Arabidopsis thaliana: one gene and its partners. The protein of the gene in region 3 interacts with the protein of the main gene of each other region in a pairwise test. Each region holds a gene or a part of one and is shown on either strand. Other genes may lie near its edges.

The links.
Region 1: the proteins of AT4G00870 (region 3) and AT3G24490 interact in a two-hybrid assay, tested with the Arabidopsis thaliana proteins (one large-scale study listed by BioGRID).
Region 2: the proteins of AT4G00870 (region 3) and BNQ3 interact in a two-hybrid assay, tested with the Arabidopsis thaliana proteins (one large-scale study listed by BioGRID).
Region 4: the proteins of AT4G00870 (region 3) and AT3G18240 interact in a two-hybrid assay, tested with the Arabidopsis thaliana proteins (one large-scale study listed by BioGRID).

The regions. Positions count from the first base shown.
Region 1 is NC_003074.8:8,906,354-8,912,723, reverse strand, and holds AT3G24490 (Alcohol dehydrogenase transcription factor Myb/SANT-like family protein), read right to left. Parts: upstream 2,303-6,370; 5' UTR 1,703-2,302; coding exon 701-1,702; 3' UTR 501-700; downstream 1-500. Other genes in the region: MSH7 (MUTS homolog 7), read left to right, coding at 1-306.
Region 2 is NC_003074.8:17,587,656-17,593,245, reverse strand, and holds BNQ3 (BANQUO 3), read right to left. Parts: upstream 2,703-5,590; 5' UTR 2,518-2,702; coding exon 2,389-2,517; intron 1,941-2,388; coding exon 1,791-1,940; 3' UTR 1,576-1,790; downstream 1-1,575. Other genes in the region: SRO4 (uncharacterized protein), read right to left, coding at 1-475. UniProt on the Arabidopsis thaliana protein: Atypical and probable non DNA-binding bHLH transcription factor that integrates multiple signaling pathways to regulate cell elongation and plant development.
Region 3 is NC_003075.7:360,262-366,408, forward strand, and holds AT4G00870 (basic helix-loop-helix (bHLH) DNA-binding superfamily protein), read right to left. Parts: upstream 3,449-6,147; 5' UTR 3,379-3,448; coding exon 3,118-3,378; intron 2,980-3,117; coding exon 1,969-2,979; 3' UTR 1,672-1,968; downstream 1-1,671. Other genes in the region: AT4G00872 (Plant invertase/pectin methylesterase inhibitor superfamily protein), read right to left, coding at 3,886-4,180, 4,255-4,475.
Region 4 is NC_003074.8:6,252,047-6,259,436, reverse strand, and holds AT3G18240 (Ribosomal protein S24/S35), read right to left. Parts: upstream 4,596-7,390; 5' UTR 4,581-4,595; coding exon of another isoform or gene 4,507-4,580; 5' UTR 4,412-4,506; coding exon of another isoform or gene 4,375-4,411; 5' UTR 4,285-4,374; coding exon of another isoform or gene 4,136-4,284; 5' UTR 3,628-4,135; coding exon 3,387-3,627; intron 3,163-3,386; coding exon 2,761-3,162; intron 2,435-2,760; coding exon 2,020-2,434; intron 1,944-2,019; coding exon 1,742-1,943; 3' UTR 1,727-1,741; exon of another isoform or gene 1,646-1,726; 3' UTR 1,347-1,645; downstream 1-1,346. Other genes in the region: AT3G18250 (Putative membrane lipoprotein), read left to right, coding at 1,030-1,260; AT3G18235 (uncharacterized protein), read left to right, coding at 4,136-4,284, 4,375-4,411, 4,507-4,580, 4,708-4,765; AT3G18230 (Octicosapeptide/Phox/Bem1p family protein), read right to left, coding at 5,466-6,255, 6,732-7,390.

The DNA of each region.
Region 1 (6,370 bases), on a different chromosome or scaffold from region 3:
TACCGTTTAACCGAGGGAGCTTGTCCTGAGAGCTACGGACTTCAAGTGGCACTCATGGCTGGAATACCAAACCAAGTGGTTGAAACAGCATCAGGTGCTGCTCAAGCCATGAAGAGATCAATTGGGGAAAACTTCAAGTCAAGTGAGCTAAGATCTGAGTTCTCAAGTCTGCATGAAGACTGGCTCAAGTCATTGGTGGGTATTTCTCGAGTCGCCCACAACAATGCCCCCATTGGCGAAGATGACTACGACACTTTGTTTTGCTTATGGCATGAGATCAAATCCTCTTACTGTGTTCCCAAATAAATGGCTATGACATAACACTATCTGAAGCTCGTTAAGTCTTTTGCTTCTCTGATGTTTATTCCTCTTAAAAAATGCTTATATATCAAAAAATTGTTTCCTCGATTATAACAAGATTATATATGTATCTGTCGGTTTAGCTATGGTATATAATATATGTATGTTCATGAGATTGGTCAAGAGAAATACTCACAAACAGTATATTAAGAAGGAAATATGTTTATGCATTAATTTAAGTTTCAAGATAAACTGCAAATAACCTCGACTAAAGTTGCAAAGACCAAACACAAATTACAAAACTTATAAGACTTAAGTTCTGAATTCCCTAAAACCAAAAAAAAAAACAGAACATATTTTGTTGCATCTACAAACAACACAAACCTACATAGTTTATAACTTACTCATCACTGAGATTAACATCAGAATCATTCTCCATTTCTTCATCTTCACTCTCATCATCATCACCACCACCATGATGATTCTCCTCCTCTTCACGTAACCTAGCAATCTCACTCTGAGCTCTATCAACAATCTGCTTCTTCTGCAACTCCAAATCTCTCTGAAAATCAGCTCTCATCTTCTCCAACTCCTTCATTTGCTCTTTCTTACTCTTCTCCATCTTCTCATAAACCTTCCCAAACCTCTCAACAGAATCCGCCAACATCTTATACGAAGCAGCGTCATTAACCTTCTTCCTCTCGTACTCAACCTCATCATCCTCATCCTCCTCCTCTTCAGAATCACCAGGACTATCCATCATCTCATCAAACCCATTAGACTTATCTAAATAAACCTTAGTGTTCATAAACACAAACTCACCTGAATCAACACCACAAGCTAAACCTAAATCCGACTTGGGCGAAACACAAAGCAACATATCCAACTTATTGAAAAACGACCATTTACTTGAACCTAAACCTGATTTCTCAACCTTAATCTTCTCTTTTCTATACTTCCTCTTCAAGTCATCAATCATTCTCCTACATTGCGTCTCAGATTTCTCCATCCTTAGCTCCTCACTCACTTTCTCAGCTACTTCATTCCAATCCTCGTTCCTCAAACTCCTTCTACCCAATTGCAAAAACCTATCTCCCCAAACTTCAAGCAACACAAAAGCTTCTTGCTCTCTCCAATCATACGCAACTTTAGCATCACTAGGACCAGCAAATTCAAACCCAGAAACTACTTTGTTTGGTTTCTGTCTCTTCTGAAACCTCTCATTTCCACGAATGTATCCTCCTTGTGGATCTTCCTCTTCTCCTTCGACTTCATCTTCGTCTTCTTCTTCATTGTAATACGCGTGACGCTTAGGTATTGGTCTACTATACATTGGATGGTTTTGCCGATTCAAAGAGTAAAACTTTTTTGGGTATCCTGTTTCATCTTCGCTGTCACCCATCTTTGAGCAAAACCCAGAAAAGCAAAAGAAGAGAGAAGAAAGGCAGATCTAGGGTTTCAAATCGGACAGATAGAGATTTACCTGATTTTTGCACCTAATAGAGGAATATCTTGGAGGGTTTAGCTTTGAGAAGAGATAAGTAGAAGAAATTGATGAGGTTTATAAACCATGGCCGTGTCTAGGGTTAGGGATTTGCATTTTCAGCCGGGTCGGAGTAGAAGAAAAGCTACCACCACCGGTGAACATTGCCTCAGCCAGCGACGGAGTTTTGTCGCGGCGTTTGTTGGGACCATCCACTGGGTCATATTGGGCCAGTTTGGACAGCACTAATGGGCCAAGAGGACCACAATTATTTAATTTTAACCGATAGCCCAAGAGTTCCCAACTAAAACTAACGATCATTAAGAAAAGGAGAGTCTAAACTCTAACGAATATCAGCTTTGGTGTCGGTTAACTTATGACTTATGGGGTCAATTTCTGACATTTAGGGTCATAATATTTTGACCTTTAGCGTCATATTGGCTCAAAGGATTTGAAGCTGTCGATTTTTGGTGGGTTCGAAGATCTGCGAATGCAGTTACTGATCGACTAGCTAAAATGGGTGCCATTGAAACAATATGTTATTTTGATTCTCTGCTTTATATTCTTAAATATGCTACGTATGCTTTTAATTAATCTGAATAAGTTCAAAAATTAAAAAGGGCTAAGTTTTATTTTTCATATCACGGTGTTATTACTGAACTTGCAAGAGTTTAAGCTGCAAGAATATGAATTGCATAAGCATCTACTATGGGAGCCTCGGTTGTGGGAAATCTCCATGTGTCACATTATGATTCATACGTTTTTGAAAAATGTGAAAGTGTATCCCAACGATAATTCATTTAATACACTATGTAACGTATAATTTTTTAAATTATTAATGATGAAATCTTGTTTGAAGATGATAGTATTAAATTAAGTGGACTAAAATAGAGAAATGCCAGAACTCTTTATTTAATAATTGTTTGTTTCTGTGTTTTAATATAAATAAATGAATGTTATGCTTATTGCCAATGAAAATGTCGACCACGCTTCAATGTTGGTGAGTAATTATTATGCATCAAAAAGGAAGTAAGTATAACCTTAATGGAAATGATCATGGTAGTGATAAGGATCATAAATAATCGCAACGAATTTTGTTGCATCAATGCATCATACTATTGAATAACTAACACTAGTCTCGTACAATTTGATTTTAGGTGTTTAAATCTCGTTAGTGTAAATATAACGAGATAAACATTTACAATACAAAAAAAAAATTGAATTGTGTGACCTTGTAAGAACAGATTTTCGAAAAAAATTAAGAGTTGAGTCATTGATATGAAGAAGCTTCCAAGACAATGATATATGAATTGGTTAGAAACAAGAATTAATATTAATCATAACTCTTAAGTAACTCGGTCATTCCCACATTGACATAAGTAAAAAATAAATTTTAAAAGATTTGATACTTGAGTTTGGTATTCCTGCTAAGTAAAAAAAGAAGAAAAAGATTTGATACTTGAGTTGAGTTGGCATTGTGGACTTTAATTTCGTTTGAATCTCATTAACATGTTAGGCTTAATTATAATTAAACCTAGACGATTGACCTGTTTTGTGGGTAGATGTACCAATATATTTCAATGATTATAAAGGTTTAGTTTTGATCTCTAAATTTTCAATTTTTTTTAACAGTTTCATTTATAAAAAAAATTAATACAATTTTTTTATAAGAAAAACAGTATAGTTTAAAACAAGCTTTAAAAATTTCAAGTCTCAAATCAAATAAATAGAGATTGTTTTTTATGAGACAGTAAACACTACAACATCAACTTTCTTATAAAATATAACAAATTGTTTTACAAAATTCAGTAGGTAGAGTCAGACAGGTATGTATTCGTATAATTTTAACTTTTCAGATTTTTTTCATTAATGTAACTCATAAAACGTTTAAATAGATTAAACAGTGACATCTCATAATTACCTAATACTGATAAAGCAACAAACAATTTTAAGGTAATAATATAGTATTTTTATAAAACGGTTGAGCTAAATATTTGAGATACATACTCATTGTTCTTTAGTATCCAGTACTACTATTTACACAATCAACAAGAACAACAAAATTGTGATATATATTACAGTTCCTCCACATGAAAATAATAAAGTGAAGTAACGGTCCTAGGCTCCTAAACGGATATCTTGGGAGAGAGATGTGAACAAACTTGAAAATTCGTATGAAAGATTTTTGATAAGCCAATCATATTACATGTCACAAGATATCGATGAAGTGAAAATAAAAATGAAATTAGTATTTTATGGTTGGAAGGTCGCGTCGAGAACATAAGTGTAACGGAGAGAGAGAGTCAATGAGTGATCATAAAACCGTTACGAAGTTTCTCAAGTCTTTGACAACAATCTCTTTCAAACGCGTTATGAGTGGTTACGTTCGCTCACTCCAATGCCAACTATGTTGCTTTCACCAATTTTTTGTCTTTTGTCTTTACTTTGAGGCTTTGAGCATTTATTTCTTAATCTTTTATTTATTTTTATTTATTGATTTGACAAATATATAGTCCAAAAGTATCTTCGGTGATTTTTTTGGTAAGGGGATTCCTACGAAAGCAGGATGCTCTATTGCCAATAATATATATAGTTTAGTTAATTAATGAGGAAGTTTTTGGTCTAGTGTTAAAGATAAAATGTTTGCCAAAAAGTTGTAAAGCACTTTGATTTACATGAGATTCCAAATAGAAAAGACTTATTGGATGGAGAAGAAAAGAGAAATTGGTTATAAAGGATTTGATATTTAACCAAAATAAAAATTAAAAAACAAATTTGATGGGACACTGACTTGGTCTCTTGGTTAGAAGAAAAGAGATTTTGGATGGTCTGGTTGCTAGTAGATGATCTCAACCATAGTGGTCTGCTTCACCTCACTGGTCAAATGTTCATCTAAGCACTAAGATTTTGTATTTCTCTACGCAAGAACTTTTATTCTGTGTGAGCTTCCAGATTCATTAGTACTGGAAGGTAAAAGTAACTCTGATACATACTCAACTAGAGAATGAAGTTCACATATCTATAGAAGGATAGAAAATACAACTAATAGCAAATGATCATATACTCTAAGAAATAATTTCTTACCTCATAAGAAGATATGACAACCTTGTCATCTTCACAATTGCATGATATTTTCATAGTACATAATGTTACATACAATTATCAAAAATAGACTATAGAGTCTTTATTTTTTAAAAAAATCGCCAAATTTATAAAATTGTATGATTAGTTGGTGAAAAAAACAGAGATGGCTAGAGTGTATGAGAAACATAATGAAATGAATAATGAATTAACAAGTAACACTTGATGCACACACAAAAAAAAGAAAAAAAATCAAGGAACACTATTTTTTTGTCAATCATAATGCATTACAAATATAGAAAAGGTTTGTGGTGTATCATCCATTACAAGAACCCGATAATCCTAGAGATACAATAGCGTTATAGTAAATGTACATGAATATTTTGCTAATTGATCCGTCATTTACCATCGAATCTTCTAGGGTTTTTGAATTCTTGTGCATGGTTCTCATGAATCACATCTAGTCTATTAAGGAACATTATCTTCCTTATAATTACATTAACAAGACTAAGCATATAATAACAAAATACTTAATTTTATTTTATTCATTTTCTTTAAATTGAAAATGGCAGAAATAAAGATGTTGCATTGTTGGCTCAACAAGAGAAACTCGATAACCTATATTCAAATGTACAAATTATGTTTAAATAGTAATTAAAAGCATTTGGGTTCTTAAGATAATGAATGAATGTTCACACAGTATTTAGCGCACAATCAAGTGGACAAAAGACGTTGAAGACTTCATGGGAAACTTACCATGCGACCTACCTAGTTATTATAACTTCTTTCACTTGGCCTCCTCATATAGACGAAGCCGGTAACAGATGAAAATGTTGATCACCTCGTTCTATTATTTAAATCAAAAATTCATGACAAAATTTAACCGCATAGCATTGTTGATTTAACAAGAGAAGTGATAACCTAGATTCAAATGTATAATTTAGGTTTTAAGAGTAATTAGAAGCACTTGGTTTTTAAGAAAGTGAATGTTTGAGTATTAAAAATAGCAGTTGGTTTAAAATTTAAAAAGAATAAAACAGTACCAATCGTTAGATCATTATAGTTTTACTAGCATATTAAGAAGTGTTGCGAGATTTGTGATGAGAAAAATAGTGGTTACTTTCATATAAGCTCAGGTGAGAAATCTATATGTTTCTCCACGGAAAAGAATACTATGCATATTATGCATAATTTCCAAATTTATATACAATACGTACAAATCTAATAAAATAATCAAAAATATGTATATGTTTGCATGGTTCACTCTAGATCCTCCATACTAAGCTCCTTCATCAATCATCAACGGCTGATTTTTAGTGCAACACTTTCACCTTTTTCAATATTTTACACTGTAACAAGATCTGAATACTTGTATAATTCCTTCATATGGAGACACGATCTCGTGAATTAGTGAAGTTTGCATTATTTATGGGACCTTTTGGCCCACAAGAAAAAGTGTCAGGATACAAAACTTGTGTGTATAGGACGAGTTATACATACTTCTTA
Region 2 (5,590 bases), on a different chromosome or scaffold from region 3:
GAAGAGGAGCATTGTCTGGTGAGAGACATAAGGCATTGTTGCTAAATCCATACATTAGAATCGCTTTTAACTCTTCCTTCTCCACACCGCAACAACCGTATTTCACTCTCGCCGCTTCAGCCACCGCAGCTTTGTTTCCACAGCAGCTGCCGCTTTTCTTTGCAACAGACTCAGCGTATATTTGAAAGGCTTTAAGCTTAGCTTGTCCTAATGGTGTTTGAAATCCGTTCTTGAGAATTGATACAATCTCAAACTGATTGCTTAAGTGAGAAGTTAGCTTAGATTGGCAATGACGGTAGATAAGCTCGTAAACTTTATCGTCTTTAGGCAACTCCGTTAGTCCGAACTCGTTAGCTATGGAAGAATGTTGTTGATCACAATCAGAGAATAACTCTTCATTGCTTCTGCTTTCAGATGAATTTGTTGACCCTTGTTCTTCGTTTATCGGTGTTTCTTCGGTTTTTGAATAATCCATTGCTGAGAAACAAAAGGAAACACAGAATCAGACTCAAAAATCATGAATTCGTTACAAAAAAGAAAACCAAGAAGTCAGAATCAAAACCTTTTTGAAGATTTTAGATGATTGATGATTTATAGCTTTAGTGTAGTTTTTGAGATGAGAGAGCACAAATGTTTGAATTCAAACTGCAGAGAGACTAAACATATATATATGAATAGTTAAAAATACAGTTATGGAAAAGATTTTTCTTACACTGTGTTCTGATTTGTTTAAGTCTTCCTGTTTTGGGTTTTGTTGTCTGTTTTCGTTTTTTTTCTTTTCTATTAAAATATTTGTTGCGTCTTGTGCCTTTTGCCGTGAAGGAGAAGTGTCCACATTCACACGATTACACTAATCCCACTTTTGTTTTTGTCACGATTACATTAAACTCATTAATCCCACGTTATTAACAAATACACGAACTTGTAAATATAAAAGGCTATTTTTTGTCAACTATTAAAGGCTATCTGATTTCTTATTTGCAATAAATACATTTATTAAACAGCATCTCGAAATTTAATTTTTTACACGCAAGGCCACTAATTTTGTGGACTATTTATTTACTGAAAACTGAATATGCAGTAAATCTCTACGTGCGGGCGCTGGCTGTTTTCGGGAAAGTGGAAGGCCGGTCGTTTTTACGTAGTAAACTGCTCTTGTAATAGAAGTGGGTTAGAACTGGAATGACCAAATTACCCCTTGGTTCTATACTTCTATATATAGATATCAACGATTCAACGTTGCTGCTGATCGAGACGTTGAATGGTATTCTTGTTACCAGAAATGGAAACCGTGGGGGCTTATTAGCATATTTTATTCCTTCTTAAAATATACTTTATACCATTAAGCGAAATTAACGACTAATTTTGATCAGAAAATTTGACTTGCGTTAGTTTAGTTCCTATCGATATTAACTACAAAAACACCGTTATAATCGTATATGCATGACACTAGAAAACATTGTTCTTCTCGTAAATTCAAAATTTAATCAATGTTTTTGCTACTAAAATGTGATGGATTTGGTTGGAATGCCTAGAATCTAAGAAATACCTAAGCCCATATATTGAGTGTGTTGCCTTAAATAATGTGAACGTAAACCCAAACCATTTGCTTCGTTCAACAACTGACAAAAACAAAACCCTACATATATTAAAAATAAAACATTGCATAATTAACAGGGGACACAAGCTGCCAGACATTATAAATACAATAAGAAGGGGAATTAAAACTGAGAAGACATTTTTTCAAAAAAAAGAAAAGAAAAAAATATCCTTCGTTTATTGCACTAATTCTACTGCATAAGCAAACTTCGGATTAGTGCAGCTTGAGCTGAATCAGTTGATTCCAAAAGTTGAGACAATCTTTCACTAAGATCATCCACTTCTTTGCTCAAGTTCCTTATGTAACTGCATGTCTCTTGTAATACCCTTGATGCTGAAACCTGAAAGTAACCAATATATTGATAAGAAGAAGGATCTTATATATAATTAACAATTTAATTATCATGCATGCAGCATGCTATTTATTGTCGATTAGTTTGGAAATTAAAATTTAGCACTCGTCACAAAATGCATCACAATCAAATGAATCAATACATACATGCAATATTGGAATATATGGAATATTAGTTTAATATTTATTTATAATTCTAACTAAAGACTCTCGTTTGTTTGCAACAACAGAAAGATGAAAGAATTACTGTTAAACTTTGATGGAGGATATATATTAGTTATTATTTTTATTTTTTTTAAACCGGAGGTTTGTTCTTTTAAGTACCCACTACTAATCCAAGGAAGATTTAAAAAGGTTTAGAAAAGATTTAAGGTTTGAAAGAGGAAATTAAATTTTTTAAAAGGAATCATAATGAAAAATTGATTAGAACGTTGTACCTTTCCAGAGCGTCTGTTGTTAGCAAGTTCGGGGAGAAGCCGATGAAGCTGGAGGACAAGATCGTTGATTTGTTCATCCGTGATCATGGAAGCTCCAGTTTGTCTTGAACGTGATTTTCTGCTAGACATTATGTAATATATATGATATGGTAGAGTATAGCTAGAGATTTATAAATCTTAGGGTTCACTAATTAACTTTAATCAATATTTGTGAGTGCAAGTATTTTCTTTGTATGTTATTTATATTATAAGAGAAAAAAGAAGGAAGAATTGAATACAGAAGTGGAAGAGTCTACTGCAACTGCTTAAAATAAACATGAATGGTTTCAACTTGTGTTTATATAGAAGATTTTTCTCCGTTTTTGGCTCTACATGTGTATGCATGGAATAATATAATTGCAAAATTATATATGTTTTTTCTAGCATGTTTCCTAAAAACTGTAATATTTTTAAGTATAGTTAAATTAATTGGTGAATTACTAGATTAACACTCTGACTAGTAGTCTTTAACGAAAGGGAAAAAAAACACTCTGAATAGTATTATGCAAATCTCAATGGGTAAGAATTTATATTTTATCTAAAATTTATAGATATATTTGTGCAATAAAAAAACGCTTATCTTATTTGCAAGAACATCTTTGTTGTTAACGGTAGAAAATTTTCGTCTCGTTATGTTTTTAAACTTATATAGGAAAAACATTTCCATTTATCCAATTACAATTCATTATAAAATAGAAGATTAAAATTCATTTTAATTCCACATTATTTTTTTTGCTAATCCAGTTTTCATTTTTCTATATATGTTTCACTAGTAACCAACTTCAGAACAAGAGTGATCTTGTGCCATTTTAGTAAATCATTTAAAAGGTGATGTTTGATTATAGTTGGAGGATACCTTCTTTCATATTTTTTTTTGGCACGAATAGAGTATACTAAAACATTTTGGGTTTATAAGACAAAGAGAATATGTATGCATGTTTGTCATACTTATCGGCAAACTTGCATAAATTCTGGAATTGGTGATAATACAAACTTTGGTACTAGACTACAAATTATGATTAGTTTGTATGATATCTTAATTAATCCAAGAACTGTAAAATTAGGATTAACTCCTGGAAATGTTAATCAACTTCTATAGTTATATTGCAAGATTAATTTATTTATATAGTTACATACTTGATCTAGTACATATACTAATTTGAGCATGTACAGACAAACATAAATAATTAAGTTGATTTAGTTTTATTAGAGATGAAATTAAACAATTCTAATATCAGTCTTTTCCATTTTGAGTGTACCTTAGTTTGGTCTTTCTTCCATTTTTATTTGTATACCATGGGCATCAATCAGTTGATTAATATATTGCAAATTTGGAATAATCAATCAAGCGCTCGATTATTTATCCATTTAGATCTGACAATTTTATCACTATATCTCAAGAATTTCTAATCAATGGAAATGATTCCTATAAATAATTTTATAGTCTACAGACAGAAATTTGTCTAGGTATCAAACTATATGGTAACCCGTCTCTCTTCCCATCATGTAATATCTTTATATTTAGATAATAAATAACATTCGTTTTATTGAAGTAATTAATATTTTCTCCAAAAAATTCCATTAGTTAATTATGGTTACACCAACAATTGAGAAAAAATATATTTTTAATTTAATTCATTAAATAAATTGTAAACTAAAAGTTTGTTTTTTAATTAAGAAGTTAGAAGAGAAAATTGGACTTTGATTCCAAATTCCGAACACGTATTGTCTATTTTTAAATCGTTATTAGATTTAATCTAGTAATAGATTTTTTTTTCATATGTGGATTGTTTTACATTTTTTTATTATTTTATTTTACATTTTCATTTGATTTTATTTACAGTTTTAAGAAAATAAACGATTTCTTTTTTGTATTATTCAAAAAAATTGCTTTCTTTTTATGTTTACACCAGAATACTTAAGTTATGAATCTTTAGATCAAAAAACAAAATAAAAAATCACATGGACTCATGACTCATTAGTATATCATTACCCGATAAAATATGTTTAATCATTTGTGTAACAATTATTAAAATTGTTTTTTTTTTTTTTTGATAAGGTGAAACAATAAATAAAAGTTATACATGTACATTACATCCGTATATGAGTGTTCATAATTTTGGAAATAAATTAGAGACAATTCCTCTTTTGACAGATCAAAACAAGCACATCTTGCAAACTATGTGATTAAATTAAATTTTTTGGTCGTCTCAACTTGTGTGATTAAATATGTATATGTGTACTTTCAAACTACTAACTTAAGGTATTGTTTTGGTTTTTTATAATCCGTAATTAAAAATCCGAGGATTAAAAGAAACTATAAAATGTAACCCAAAAATATCCAAATAATAATATTTGTGAATTGTGATTAACTAATCAATATACGGTACTATTGCGTGGTCAGCTTGGATCTCAGCTCTCGTCGGGGCACATGAGTTTTTGGAATATACAGCGAAGAATCACGATGTGTACTCTCTTTTAATTTAGTTTTTATTTCTTTGGTTTAACTTTTCTAATATAATATTAATTTTTAGCGTACGGTATACACACTCAATTGATTACAAGTTCTCAAGTCTACTTCTCATTGTAATAATCAGTTCTGAAATTTTTCAAATGTAAACAGAAACTTTTTTTTTTTTTAACAGAAACTTGTTTCTTGCTAAATGTCATTGCTCCACTTTTTTCATTCCAAATAATATCATTAGATGATTAAGATTATGTATTACAAAAAGTAGAGAACCTAAAACAGAGATGATCCGTGCCAAACAAAATTATAAGAAATACAAAGGACATTAGAAATACACAAACTAAGAATCCTTGGGAAATTAGAATTTTTAGCCCACACTAACACCCAACCAATTTTCGATGTTGTGTGTTTTTTATATCCAACCAAGTTTAGAGGTTGTACACAAAAAGAAAACACATGAAATATTGTTTTTGAAAGTGTGAAGAAACCCAAGTTGAAGGAGTCTTTAAAATATTGATAGAACTTTATTAGATTTTAGTACGATAGAATTCCAAGAAAGATTACGGAGATCTCTTTGCCATATGGTTTCTGTCTCAATGATTCGCTTCTATGTTATTGTGTAAGATGATTTATATATACAAATATGTACGAGACTCAATACTACACATTTCCTTAGACAACTCGAAATTTATTGTT
Region 3 (6,147 bases):
ATCGAAACAAAAGGTGAATAAACTACACAGACGACTAACAACAACAACAAATTTATCAAATAGATCTGATAGAATCGGTATTTCACAAAACAAGCATCGATTCGAGAAGAGTGATTTACCTGAATCGATTTCACAGACACGGAGAGGCGCAGGAAATTTTCGAGAAGAATCTCGTTGGTAGATTTTTAGGGAGGAATAGAAGAAATAGCGATTTACGTTTCTCGTCAAACTTGAAATGACCCAAAAGGGGTTTCCGATTGTGGTGTACAAATATTGGGCCATTATGGGCCCATTTCGTTTATGAGATTTTACTCCTAATTGGGCCACACTTGACTATTGGCCCATCTTAATACAAATCATTTCTTTGGGTTAATGAAGATAAAACTTTTTATGAGATTTTATACCAGATTGGGCCATACATGACTATTGGCCAAGCTAAAACAAATCATTTCTTTTGGGGTTAATGAAGATAAATCTTTTTAAACGGATTAAATTTTCTTAAAACAAAGCTTAGAATATATACAGTCAAAAATCTATAAATTAATATTCAATAAATTAATATCTCATTAAATTAATAATTTTCTTCCGTTCTCAAATTGATATTTTAGCCCAAATATTGTCTCTATAAATTAATAAACATGATAATTTATAGAGGTTTTACTGATTAAATTACAATTGCTATTTCAATTTGTAAAAATATTAAGAGTTCCTTTTGAATGACTTTGCTCAAAACGAGGTTTTAGAAAGTGCTAAAGCCTAAAGCTTCAAATGCACATAACACCAATATTTATTCTGCACGCATAAGATTTCTAAAATGATTTCAGTTGTTTTTCTTATTGCGTTTTAAAAACTTACAGTCTATTTATAAAGTGAAACATCTATAAAGAAGAAGAAGACAAACACGTATTTATTGTTAATATTTTTTTTTGTTGTTGAGTACCATATTAACCTAGAAGTTGGAACCGGGCATAATTTTTGCATGTGGCCATTTTTCATGTGATTTACCTATCAGTAAATTTTTGCATAACCGTTACATCGTTGCAGCAGGATTGAAGAAGGGATCATGTGAAAGATAACTGTTTCTGACTTTCTGTCAAAGAAACTTAATCTTAAGGTCGAAACTATATTGTATCATAGGTTATGTATACATAGACACATGATAGTTTGTTGCATAACATATTTTAATTTCTTTTAGAAAAACATAAAACCATGATCATCAAATAAAACAAAACATTTTTGTCTCATTAAGTAAATGCAAAATTGTTTAGTTCTGTTTTATATGTGAATGTTAGATACAGAATGATTACTTTTTCAAGCACAAAAACATTTTTTGCAATTAGTAATTAGCAAACAAAATAAGAAAGATACAATTCAATTGCATTATTGTACCCTTTTCTTCTCTTTGCATTATTGTACCACTTTTTTTTCTCAACATTATTGTACCCTTTATTTTTCTGTGCATTGTACTAATATTTTTTCCCCAAATTAACCAATCAGTGTCTTAATATAACAGTACGTCCAAGAATAATTAATATAAAGCATTGGTAGTTCATTACGTAATTGACTTGATTTGTTAGCAAGCTATCACTGAAGAGTGGTCCTAAATATTATAGGACAAGCGTGTGTGTGTCTATAATTCCTCCGTCTTCTCTATGGTTTTCAAACTAATATTTCCAAATGATCAATTAATGAGTTGTTTCTTTTAAAATATACAGTCTCTATATTGTTTTAGTAAGACAATATACCAAACACTTTGCGCTTTTAGCGAGCTAGTACGTACGTACGAGAAATAAAGTAAAAAAGTAACACATAAACTACGTATCAACGAGATCAAACTTTTGATAAAACAACATTAATCGCTAGAAGGAATTTGATTTTTCTAGTACTTATCAAATAAAACAAAAGGTCGCAAAAAAAAACAAAAATTATTATCACATCCTATGTTGACGTCACAAAACAAAGAAATTGTTATAGGCTTAGGGTTCGGACAAGTGTGGTCCTAAGCCTATCTTCCGATCTTAATCCTTCTGGAACCAAAACAACAACATCTTGAACCATAACCTGACTCAAGCGCGACGCGTTCGCGTGTTGTACACGACAATCCATTTCCATTAACGCACTCATCAATGCCGACGTAGGATGGTTCACATTCTCTGTCTGAACCCTAATTATGGCTTCTTCTCCGACGATCTTCACTTGCACTTCCAAGTCAGAGCCTCTGTTTGATTTTGAAGGTTTCTGGTTAACTTGGTACTCAACGGAAGACGGAGACGTATTGCTGCTGCTGTTGTCTAATTTATCTGTCTCCGTCATCTTCATTTTCTTGATCTCAGTTTCGAGATCATCGATTTTGGATTTAAGACTTTCTATGTACGAAACTGCGTCGGATAAAAGTGACGCTTTGTCCATTCGTGACACTTTTGGTACGATGGCACGTAGAGCGTAAAACCGGTGGTTTAGCTTCTCTCTCCGTTGCTTCTCCGCTTCCACGTGGGACAAAACCGCCGGATGATGTTTCTCTTTCGTCGCCGCAGCTACCCTTGTCGTCTCAAGTTTCCTCCTCCGTTTTCTTTCCGACCCGAATTGCTGATTTCCGCTTTTCGAATGATCTGATACCGCCGGTTTAGGGTAAGAACCGGTTTGGTTAGTGTGTTTTGTTGTTTTACCCGACCCGAATATGGACTTGACTCGGTTTATAAAGTTCCGGTTTTGTATAATTGATTCAGACGAACCAAGTTCGATAATGCCATTGTTGATGGGTATGGAGACCAATGTGTGTACCCCGTGAAAACCGGCTTCTTTAGCCCTCTCGTAGTTGCTAAACCGGAGCTCGTCGGGACCGGTTAACCAAACCAAAGATTCATCGGATACTTCCTTTCTCGGCGATCTATCTTCACCGTAAAACGATGCGGCATAGAACAACTCCAGATCATCTCCACCGTCCATCATCAGCTCACACTCGATGCTGTTTGTTGTATACTTAAGAAAGAAACAAAAACAAAAAATCAAGGGTAAGGAAAATTATATTATTTTCTTAATAGAACTTTTTTAAGAAGTTGATTTAAATAAATTTTGGATATTTTGATTAGATAACATAAGAGGCAAAGAAAAATGAACATTTTCTTGGGAATTGTTGTTCTTGTTTCCACAGAAATGACCATCAACCCAAACCAAGTAAGACCGGTCCGATTGATCATCAAACATCTTTTGCCAAAAAATGACATAAGCCCATCGGTCCGGTGAGGTTTCCACGACAAACCGGAGTTTTTGTTGAAGTACTAAATCCGGAGGAGAAGAGGACACTATGGCTGCAGGAGTTTGTTGTGTAAAAGAGAGCAAAGAAGAGGACAATGATGGAGAGAAAGTGAGATTATACATTTCTTTCCAGTGATCCCGACCAAAGAGAATTTAGAGGGTTAGAGAAGACAAGTGGAAAAGGATGAATAAGATTCTAAATTAATAGAGAAGACGATATTATAGTAGTAATATCAAATTTTCATTAATGATTTTCGTGAATTAAAGTTTATGATAAATATTCCAATAGTAGTAAGTTAGTCACGTGAAAACTGAACTGTTTTCCTACTTTAACGTTATAAGAACAACAATTTATCGTATAGTGGTCCAACTTTGATGAAATAGACAATATATCATTCTTTGCCAAAAAAAAAAAAAAAAAAAAGACAATATATCATTTAGATTTATATTGAATGATGGTTCAAACGAAAACTTATTTTGACAAATTTGAAAAGAAAAAAAAAACATGAGAGCTACAACAAATGGATATATGTGACTTTATAAATTTCATAAAGGAAATGATTTATTCAAATTGGGGTAAGCATTGATCGAAGTTGAGTTATATAGAAAACAATAAGGAGTTATTACTTATTAGAAGCGATCAATGATCCTCATAGCAGCGTCAGAGAGTTGAGCATAGATATTGATTTGACTAAATAGTTGGGGAGACGTGAACTTGACACGTTTGAGATTGAACATACATCTCAGAGGAAAGCCAAGCGCAAGCTTTATCGATTTGTTGGTTTTATCATAATCACCGGTTTTCAAACTTGTTTTGGCTTCCGACAGTATTGTAGATGCATTCGTCGACAAGTCTTTTTTGCAAATCTCCAGAGCTGTTTTCACTTCACCTTTATCTTTCTTTGACGATAAATTCGTTATGTTACTACACAAATGAAAAAATTGATATATTAGAGGATATTTCTGTATATTGGTTATAATTTGTAAGTGAAAACTTGCTTGGTGATGATATGGAGGTGGGATTCAAGACAGTTTATGACGATGCCAGCTATGCCTATATGGTCGGCGTGAATGGAGTTTGGGTCGGATTCAAGACATTGCATGCATATGGCTGGGACGTCTGCATTGTGGCATTCATTTATCATCATGTCCTTCTCGGCGCATATCGACATAGGAGAGATCACCAGTATTAACAGCAGAAACTTGATCATCGTTTTCATGCTAAGTATGATTGATTATAGACTATATTTCTTTTTAAGGGGTGTGAATTACTTATATAAACTAAGAATATGGTTGGTCATGACTCATGAGTGATCTCTTTTACATTACACGTGTTTAACGTCTTTAATTTTACCTTTAAAACTGACCATTGAAATGCAAATTGATGTCTTATTTTACTTCATTTGGGTAGAAAAGCAGATTATAGTTCTCTTTTTGAATTATAATTTATACATTTTCTTACTCCATTCAATAATATTATGATCTATTACCCTTTAGTTTATGTTTTAAGTTTTTTTAATACATTTATGGATATTATTAGACATATAAACAATATAATAATTAAGATGTTTTGGCTTAGAACCTCCTAGTATTAAAAAAAAAAGTAGGGTAATTAATGATGTTTTTTCTTAAAACAATAACTAAAAGTAAGTAAAAGTTTTTTTTTTGTTAATTTTAAATTTTACTAATTGTAAGTAGGTAATAATAAAATTTAAATAAATTAGTGTAATTGTTTTTTTTTATATATACTTAGCTGAATACTTCCGTAAACATGTTTATAATACAAAAGCCCAATTTTGGCCCATAAACTTATAAAACATGGGTTTTTTTTTGTCGTTATAAAACATGGTTTTAGTTCACGAAGAATAATATATTCCTACCGCATCTAATCTATTAAACAAAATCACGTTATTGTATTTGGTAGTGAGTGTTGTTATTCTGGCCATACAAATGGTCAAAAGCCTCTCGTCCATTTCTTTCCATTTTCAAGATTCTTCAATCCATCATTATTTTGCTTTACTTATAAAGAATCGTACGAAAAATTATAATCGAAATAAAGTTTCGAATATACGTACTTCAAACAAAATTAAGAGGAGAAGACCACTGCACAATTGCATATTTATGGTAGATTTTGCTTCACTTTTTTTTGCAAGTGTATGATTAAAGTTTTTCTAACATATCATGAGGTTGTTATTTTTGTGACCGTAAAGATTTAATGAACAACAATTGCGTAGACAACAATGTTGATCAGATGAATTTATAGATTTAGCGAATAAATTTCTTAACTTAATCATTCATTTACAGGAACTTCGTTTTCACATATCTTTATGAACGGAAACGTAACATAGAAGTTATATTGATGAATGGTGGTATATATGTGAAATAACCACTAAATTACTTTCTTCTCCAAATGATTAACCTGTTGTAGAATAGTTTGGCAAAGCCGATAGAATCAGTCCATTGGCCTCCAGTGAAAGGCTTCCACTTTTGAAGTTTTTATAAATTTTCATTGCCAAATTTCATCTTTTGTAACTCACTTTGGAGGAACTTCAAAATCTTGTATCACTTTATCTTTTTCTCTAACATTGTTTGCTTCATAGCATACGTTGAGTCGACAAACTGATTGTTTTTCCTTCCATGTTTTAATCCTTTTTTTTTGCCATAAGACCAAGTCTATAAGTCTAAAATATATAACTGTAAACCTAAACATTTTTATTCTTATGAATATTTACATTTTAGCAACAAAAAACCTGAACTAAAGTGATTTTTAAAATAAAAATGATTTTTAAAATAAAAATGGAAAAATGTAAAATTACTTTCTTCTCCAAATCATTAATAAAATTATAAAATTTCAATTGACAAGTCAACTCATAGAAGAGATTGAGTATAGTA
Region 4 (7,390 bases), on a different chromosome or scaffold from region 3:
TTTGGTAAAAAATGGAAGTTTGGTATTTTTTGGCAGTTGTATACATAAATAAAAATATATATTACGGAGTTATATATTCTTGTTTGGTCAAATGTTTCGGAAGCTTTTAGATTACGAAATTACATAATCCATGATGAATTAAATTTGGTTAGTGGTAGAAGAATAAGACGCCAAAAGAAAAAAGGGAAGAACATTGGGTTACGTCGAAAGTCCTTTGATAAGAATTTGATTTTGCATAGTCAAATTTGGACCAACAACAAAAATGGAGTCCACGTGAAATAGAAGAGAGAGACTTAATAGCTTCTCATGCATAAAGTTATGAACAATCAATGATAACCAATGATAAATAACTAAACAGTACAAAATCTCTGTATTTTTATTGGATTTAACAAAGGCCATGAACAATCACTTCAATATTTATAATTTTTTTAAAAAGACGAGGCAATTCAAGCTGATTTATACATTATGATTAATGATAATTATATTATGGCATTTGACTTTTCTCACGCTAATGTAAATGGTCAAAAATCCTTATCTTCAACTAAACTTCCTCGACAAAACCTTAACTAGAACTATGTATGTAATTTATCAAATATTGAACTTTAAATTTCTTTAAAAGCATAATATAATCTTGACCTATAAAATTAGCCTAGCCTTTCGAATTACAAGTTTTATATTTTTAAAGAAACATAATCTTCAACTAGAAATTATTATAAACCGGGTCCTATCTTCATCTAATATACGTGATTCCATCAAAATTCCGCAGTCAAATGTGTTTAGTTGAGAGGAGGAGAATAGTAGACTAAAATGGATGACTTTCTGGTAAGTCTTGTATTGCAGTCTTTTCTATATTTTAACAAATAAGTCTTCTTTTCTTAAAAAGAAAAATTTAATTACAAAGAAATCTTACTACTGAACGAATAATTTATCAAAAGTCAGTGGCCTTACGTACGAATTTATCGGCTATAAGTAGGAAAGCTTTTCACGTTAAACAACTTAATCTCATCCACATTAACTAGAGAAAGAGAGATGGCGAGACACTTATTAGAAGATGTAATGAGCATGGCCACCACAACAACACATTTCGATGCTAGTTACCTGTTTCATGTTGTGTTCCTGGCTGTGATCGGTTGTTGTATCCTCTCCGCTCTGTTATTCTCTTGTGCCGACGGAGTCTCCGACAACAGAGCCACTTCAGGCACCTCTACCGGTGGCGGAGGTTGTGGCGGTGCCGGTTGCGGTGGTGGTTGTGGAGGTTGAGATTTCATTTTTCTTCGTCAGGAAAATATAAACAGAACAGTCCGACCATTTTACTTTCGTTTATAGATGTATAGCTATCGTATATTGAAGCAATAATTTATTTAGTTTCCATTTCTTATCTTACTGATTGAATTTCTTTAAAAATTAGAAAGACATCTGATACAAAACCCAAACAAAAATTGTACCAATTCTTTCCTTTGGTTACTTTCATTCTGAACCCGTAAACATATCTGAAACCTTAACTTTAGGAGAGATTCATAATTCTGAGAAAACGTTAACTAGTCTCTAATAGACACCAACAGCACAGCCAAGGTTCATGTCTTCATGAGATACAACAAGCAAACCAAACTAAGATAGGAGTTACCATCAAAGATTCTTCATGGATCTGAAAAGCCATAACGGATCAAATGATTGCCAAAAGAAGACGATCCTACAGATTATTTGGTGAGACAAGAAAGGCGCTAACCGGGAAAAGTTTTGTTCAAGCGTTGATGGCATCTGATTCTTTAGACCTTATGATCTTGGCTTGTAGTTTCTGCATAAAAGCTGGATTGGCACGGAGTCTTTGTTTTACATATGAAGTTCTTATGTCTTCAGCGATCTTGTTGGCTTTCCCAGCTTCTTCTATCAACCCGTAAAGAGTTCTTAAGCAGTCTTTCCTGTTTTCCTCTCGGTGTTCAAACCTGTGACAGGACAAAAACATTTCATGATTCAACATTCTTGTCTCACGAAAAGCTTAAGATTTATAGTTATATATACCTCTCGCTGGTGATTGTAAGCTCGTCTTTCCCCGAATGGTATCTTTTCCCTACAAGTTCCCTTAGCCTTTTAGCCTGATGCTTTGAGAGCCCAAGCTCTTTCACTGTAACAGACATTTTAACTTTCCTGTTCTTTGGATGCCACGCATCACCTCCAGGAGCAAAAACTATCCTTGATTGCCACCTGAGGATTGGGCCTTTACCAGGGGGATCATCCAAGTCAGTATTCCTATCGGAAGCATCTGTTTCACCAAATTGGGGAGGACCCTCAGCTTCCATCTGATCCCCATACTGAATTACCATCTCATCTTCAAATTCCTTAAAAAGCTCATAAGCTGCTTCAGCCTCAATTTCACCTCTTTCACACATATCTCCAAGCTCATTAAACTTTGCTTCAACCTTTTTCTTCAAGTCATCTGAATGAACATACACAGTTAGAGAAATGTTCATATGTACGCATCACAGGAACAAACCAATATATTCTCTAAACGGCCCTACTGATCCGAGAAGTAACATATCTGGCATAGTACATTACCTTCTACGAGTTAAAAAAACGAATGGTTCTCAACTTCTCATACCATGATTCAGAAAAATCCAAATAGAAAGGTTAACTACAAAAGCTAAGTTCCACGAAGAGATTGTGTTTAGCTATAACGACGCACATTAGTCTATTAATCAACCTAATCTATGTCTAAGGATGTGAGTCGATGAACGGGAAGATTGAAAATAAACGAGCCATTACCAGGAAGAAGCTGGTCCCATTTGAGCATATCCTCAAGAATCTCCTCGCATTCTTTAGTATCAGTAAGACACCCATGTTGGATACCTTCTCTAATCATGTGATCCCACTTCTTATCATCCATGTTGAAAAACTCATTCTTCCTCATCTTTTCAGCTACATACTCGGGAGAATTGTACAAATCCTCAAGTTCTTCGTCAGTAGAATGTGCTTCCTCGAAATCGGATTCAAAATCTTCATCCTTGACATCATCTTTGAAAGGTAGAGACTCGATTTTTTCCAACAATTCATCATCAGTCTCTGCGTGTTTGTCTACAAGTCTTCTCTGTAGAAGTGCTTCAATAACTCCGGGTAAAGCATCTTCATTACCCTCATTGAAATACTTCTCTATACGGCTTTTAAGCTCTGAGACCACAAAATCCAATAAATGAAGTCAATTTCAAACGATTACCTACAGCTATTCTACTAGTTCATGAGATAAGAAGCTACGAATCTTGTATCGAAGGATCAATTGAAAACTATGAGGTATTGAGAAATGGTGAGATGAGAATTAAACTCACACATTTCAACTAATACAAAGGCCATTTCAAGTGTGAGGTAACCAAACAAGAGGATAGAGTGTGTTTTACCTTTGTTGCTTACATCTTCTACAACGAGATCTTTCTTCTCGGGTGAATCAGTCGGCGAAGACTCAGGGGCCGTAGTCGAGTTCTCACCGGATTCGGAGGAGAAAAATCTGAACTTGGGAGCAGCAGGAGCGGCGATTGGAGCGAGAAAGGGAACATTGGGGGAGATCTGATGGGTTATACGAGGAGAAAGAATGATTCTGCGAGCGCAGAGAGATGCATTTCTCAAGAGAGCTCCTCTCATGGCGGATCAGAGATTTAGGGTTTTAGGTTGTGACAGGAAAAAAGCTCTTCTTCATACCTGAATCTGCTACAGAACCTGAATCAATAATTTGGTTAAATGTCTTAATCTCCGGTTTAGTTTCATCTGTCCGGTTTAGTTAGCAATACATATACTTAAGGTTGTTATTTTTTCATGGTGGAGCTATGTTTGTGGATGTTGTCTTAGAAGGTTAGCTGAAGATAAAAGAGTTAAAGGGCTGTGTAATTCACTAGTTTATCAGATTCATGGAAGTTCAATATGCTTATAAGAAAACAAGTCAAGAACAGTTTATTATCAACGGGTTTTCAGCTCAAAGATGGTACAAGGTGGATACAGGCTTGGTTTGGAGCTGATTGTTGGTAAGGTCATTTAGAAGTAGACTGCAGATTTTTCAGAAATAAATTGCAGGTTTCTAGATAGGAGTTGCTGGCTGCAAATTTCAGAAAAGACACTAACGTGTAAATAGAGATGAAGTTATTGAAGTGGTTCAATGAATTCTCTAAAGAAGGAACTGAAAAGAGACATGTGTAAGTGTTGCAGGAGTTGTCTCAAGGTATTTCACTTCAAGACTATGAAAGTGTTGTGTATCAAGCCTGATAAACAACTCATCTCAAAGCTGGTGTTAGCAGCTGAAAAGAAGTCCTAGAAAGGAATGCAAATGCAGAGGATTCAAATTGCATTTAGAAGACAACAACTCATGAGCATAAATTTGTCTTGGTTGATGACGAGACAACGTAAGTGTCTACTCATGGGAAGTTATCTGCAGGTCAGTCAAGTGAAGGATTTTGTTTTTAAGAAAATGAAGGGCATTGACTAAAGACTGCAAATTGAATGGTGTAATAGCCAAATTCGTTTTGGTAGTTGCATACAAGAAGAAGTATTGCAGGTTTTTCTTTACAGCTTGAAAGATACATCAAGGATTCTAGAGTTGATATGTAAGCTGTTTTAAGGGCGTGTCTTAGGGATATCACAAGGTTTGCTGATAAGTGACATGGTAAAGGTTACTACTAGTAGTGGGTTTCAAGTTGCTGGTGTGTTCTGTTTAACAAGATGGTTGAACAGGGGTACTGTTTTGAAACTCGGTTTGTTCAATCAGGTTATTGACGTGAATCTACAATAGTATAAGCTGTTGGTGAGATTGACTACAAGTTGAATCAAAGAGCCTCAGGTTAGAGGCTAAGATGATTCTGTTTTATGCATATGATTCGAGTGAATTCAAAGGATTTTGATCTCGATGCGCATGAGGAAATCCTAGAAGCTAGCTAAGGAATCAAGTTTTGCAGAGGATGAATTGGTTACTTCAATCACTGCTACATGTTTATGGTCTTAACAGAGGCCATGGTGGAGATATGTGATTGAACGTTTTATAAGTAATGAAGCTAATGGAGATTTATGTTGTGTTTAAAAAGCTGGAATTGTTCTCTTGACTTGTTAATGGAGTTTTTTTCTTTTCTGAGCGGCAATATCAAGTTTTCAAGTGTTGAATGCATCACTTAAAGTGACAAAGCATGAAGCAACCTCAACAGATCACTTCACAGTTCTATATCTAGTATACACTGGTGTTCCATTTCTTGAGTTTTTGTGTAATCTTCGGATCAAGATAATTCCAATATAGAACTTAAAAAAATATCCAAAACATATTTATTTATCAGAAAAGAGAGAGAGACATAAGCAAACTACGATAAGAACAACGAGATAGCAAATCCTATGTATATCTAACGAGATGTAACAGGACGTTACATGTAATACGCAAAAAGAACAGAGCGCGCCGTGTCGGCTATACTTAACACTTTGCGCATTTATTACCAAAGATCCAGCGTTTAAAGCGGCTGAGACGCAGCCATATGCTGTTGCTGTTTGCCGCCGTCAAGAGCCATTTGCTTGGACATATCGGCTAGAGCTGCTGCGGCTGCTGCTGGTGTCATGCTTTGGTATGGAGACGCTAATGGAATGGCAGTGTTTGCAGCAGGAGCTTGTGTGTGGTAATACACTGTCTCGTTTGGAGAGTTTGTGTATTCAAAGGGTCCACCGTAGTTGGCGTTTGCGTTTGTGCTATGTTGAGGAGCTCCAGTACCGTAATTGGCGTTTGCGTTTGTGCTATGTTGAGGAGCTCCAGCGTAACCCATGTACTGATGCTGTTGCTGAAGCTGAATAACCTGAGGGGGAGCAGCTCGGTAAACGTTCTGGGCAGCTTCAGGTCTCGAGTTTGTGCCGGGTTTTGAGTTCGGGTAGAGCGGGGGAGTTCCTGCTGGGATATACTGCTGAGATTGTGGGACGGACATCACGTAAACAGGGTAGTTTTGTTGCTGATGAGAGTAAATTGGTATGTATTGTGATGGGTGAGGGATATACTGAACGCCTTGGTGTAAGAAAGGTTGTTGAGCCAGAGGTTGTTGTTGTTGTTGATCCATAGTTGTGTACGTACCTGGCTGAGATAAGACATGGGAGGTGGTTTGGGCTGAAGTGTTTTCAGTCTGAGGTAAGACTTGAGAGCTTTGGGCCGAGGTGGTTTCAGGCTGTGCCACTGGAGGAGCTCTTGGCAGAGCTGGAGGTTGGTCTTGGTAGTACATCGGCTTTGAAAATGAAGTAGCAGAAGAAATGCTAGTATCACTGTAATGTATAAACAACAAGAAATATCAGCATTGAGTATCATCATATTCAAAAGAATAAAGCTAACATCTCTTGTAACGTTATGGTTCAAAGAGTATACCAATATCTACACAAATATCTAGAACACCAAATTGAAAAATCTCTGATTGTAAGGTGTAATAAAACAAAGATGATGATAAAGATCATAGAAAATTCTTAAGCATTTGACAGTTTAAGATGATTTCTCCATCATCGATTCATACACCATACTTCAAACCAATGATCTATTTCTTTTAGCTACTTAGCCACTATCAGAGATGTAATACAAACCACATGTAAAGATTATAGAACAGAAACAGAAACAGTGCAAATGAAACTACAAATTCAAGGCAAGCTGAAGAAAATGATGGAGAAACTAAGAAGTTGAGATCAGAAATTACCTAGATCATTATAGCTACCTAAATAACTAGAGAGAGTCCAGGGGAAGATGAAAGTACCTTGCAACAGAATCAGGGGATGTCAAGCCATAGCCTCCAACAGTTCTAGGTGGGATCGTTACTGGTTGCATCGGCAAAGGTGGCTTCCTGTAGCCAGTTGATACACCTAATTCGGATCGATCGTCTTCAGGTGAGACATGGCCATTGCTTGCGGGAGCAGTACCATCACCAGGTGCGTTGTTATACGCCATCGCAGCATCGTTCATGGCACCAGGTGGAATCATCATTGGCCGATTTGCCATCAAGCTAACGCCATCATCAAATTGCCTCTGAGTTTGCATGTTTGAGAAGGTCATCTGTGCCAATTGTTCCTCTATCCTCTGGTCCTCACTGACTCTAACGCGAATCGGTGGCAAATTGGATGTGGAAGGAGATGAAGAAGAAGATCCTATCGAAGAACCAGCGGCTTCCATCATTGGAGAATCAGGCATCGAGCTCATATGCATCTCCTGATGCGAAATCACACCGTTAGCAACCAAATCCCCTCGCTTATTGTTCTCGCCACCAACATTAGTTTCAAGGTTTTGGATCTCGGTCTCTCCGCCGCTAGCTTCGTCGAGATTCACCAAGGTATTATTCACGGCGGCGGAATCTGATAAACCACGAGGAAGCAAACCAGATTGATTCAGAGCATCGACGAACCATGTGTCAGATTTCGT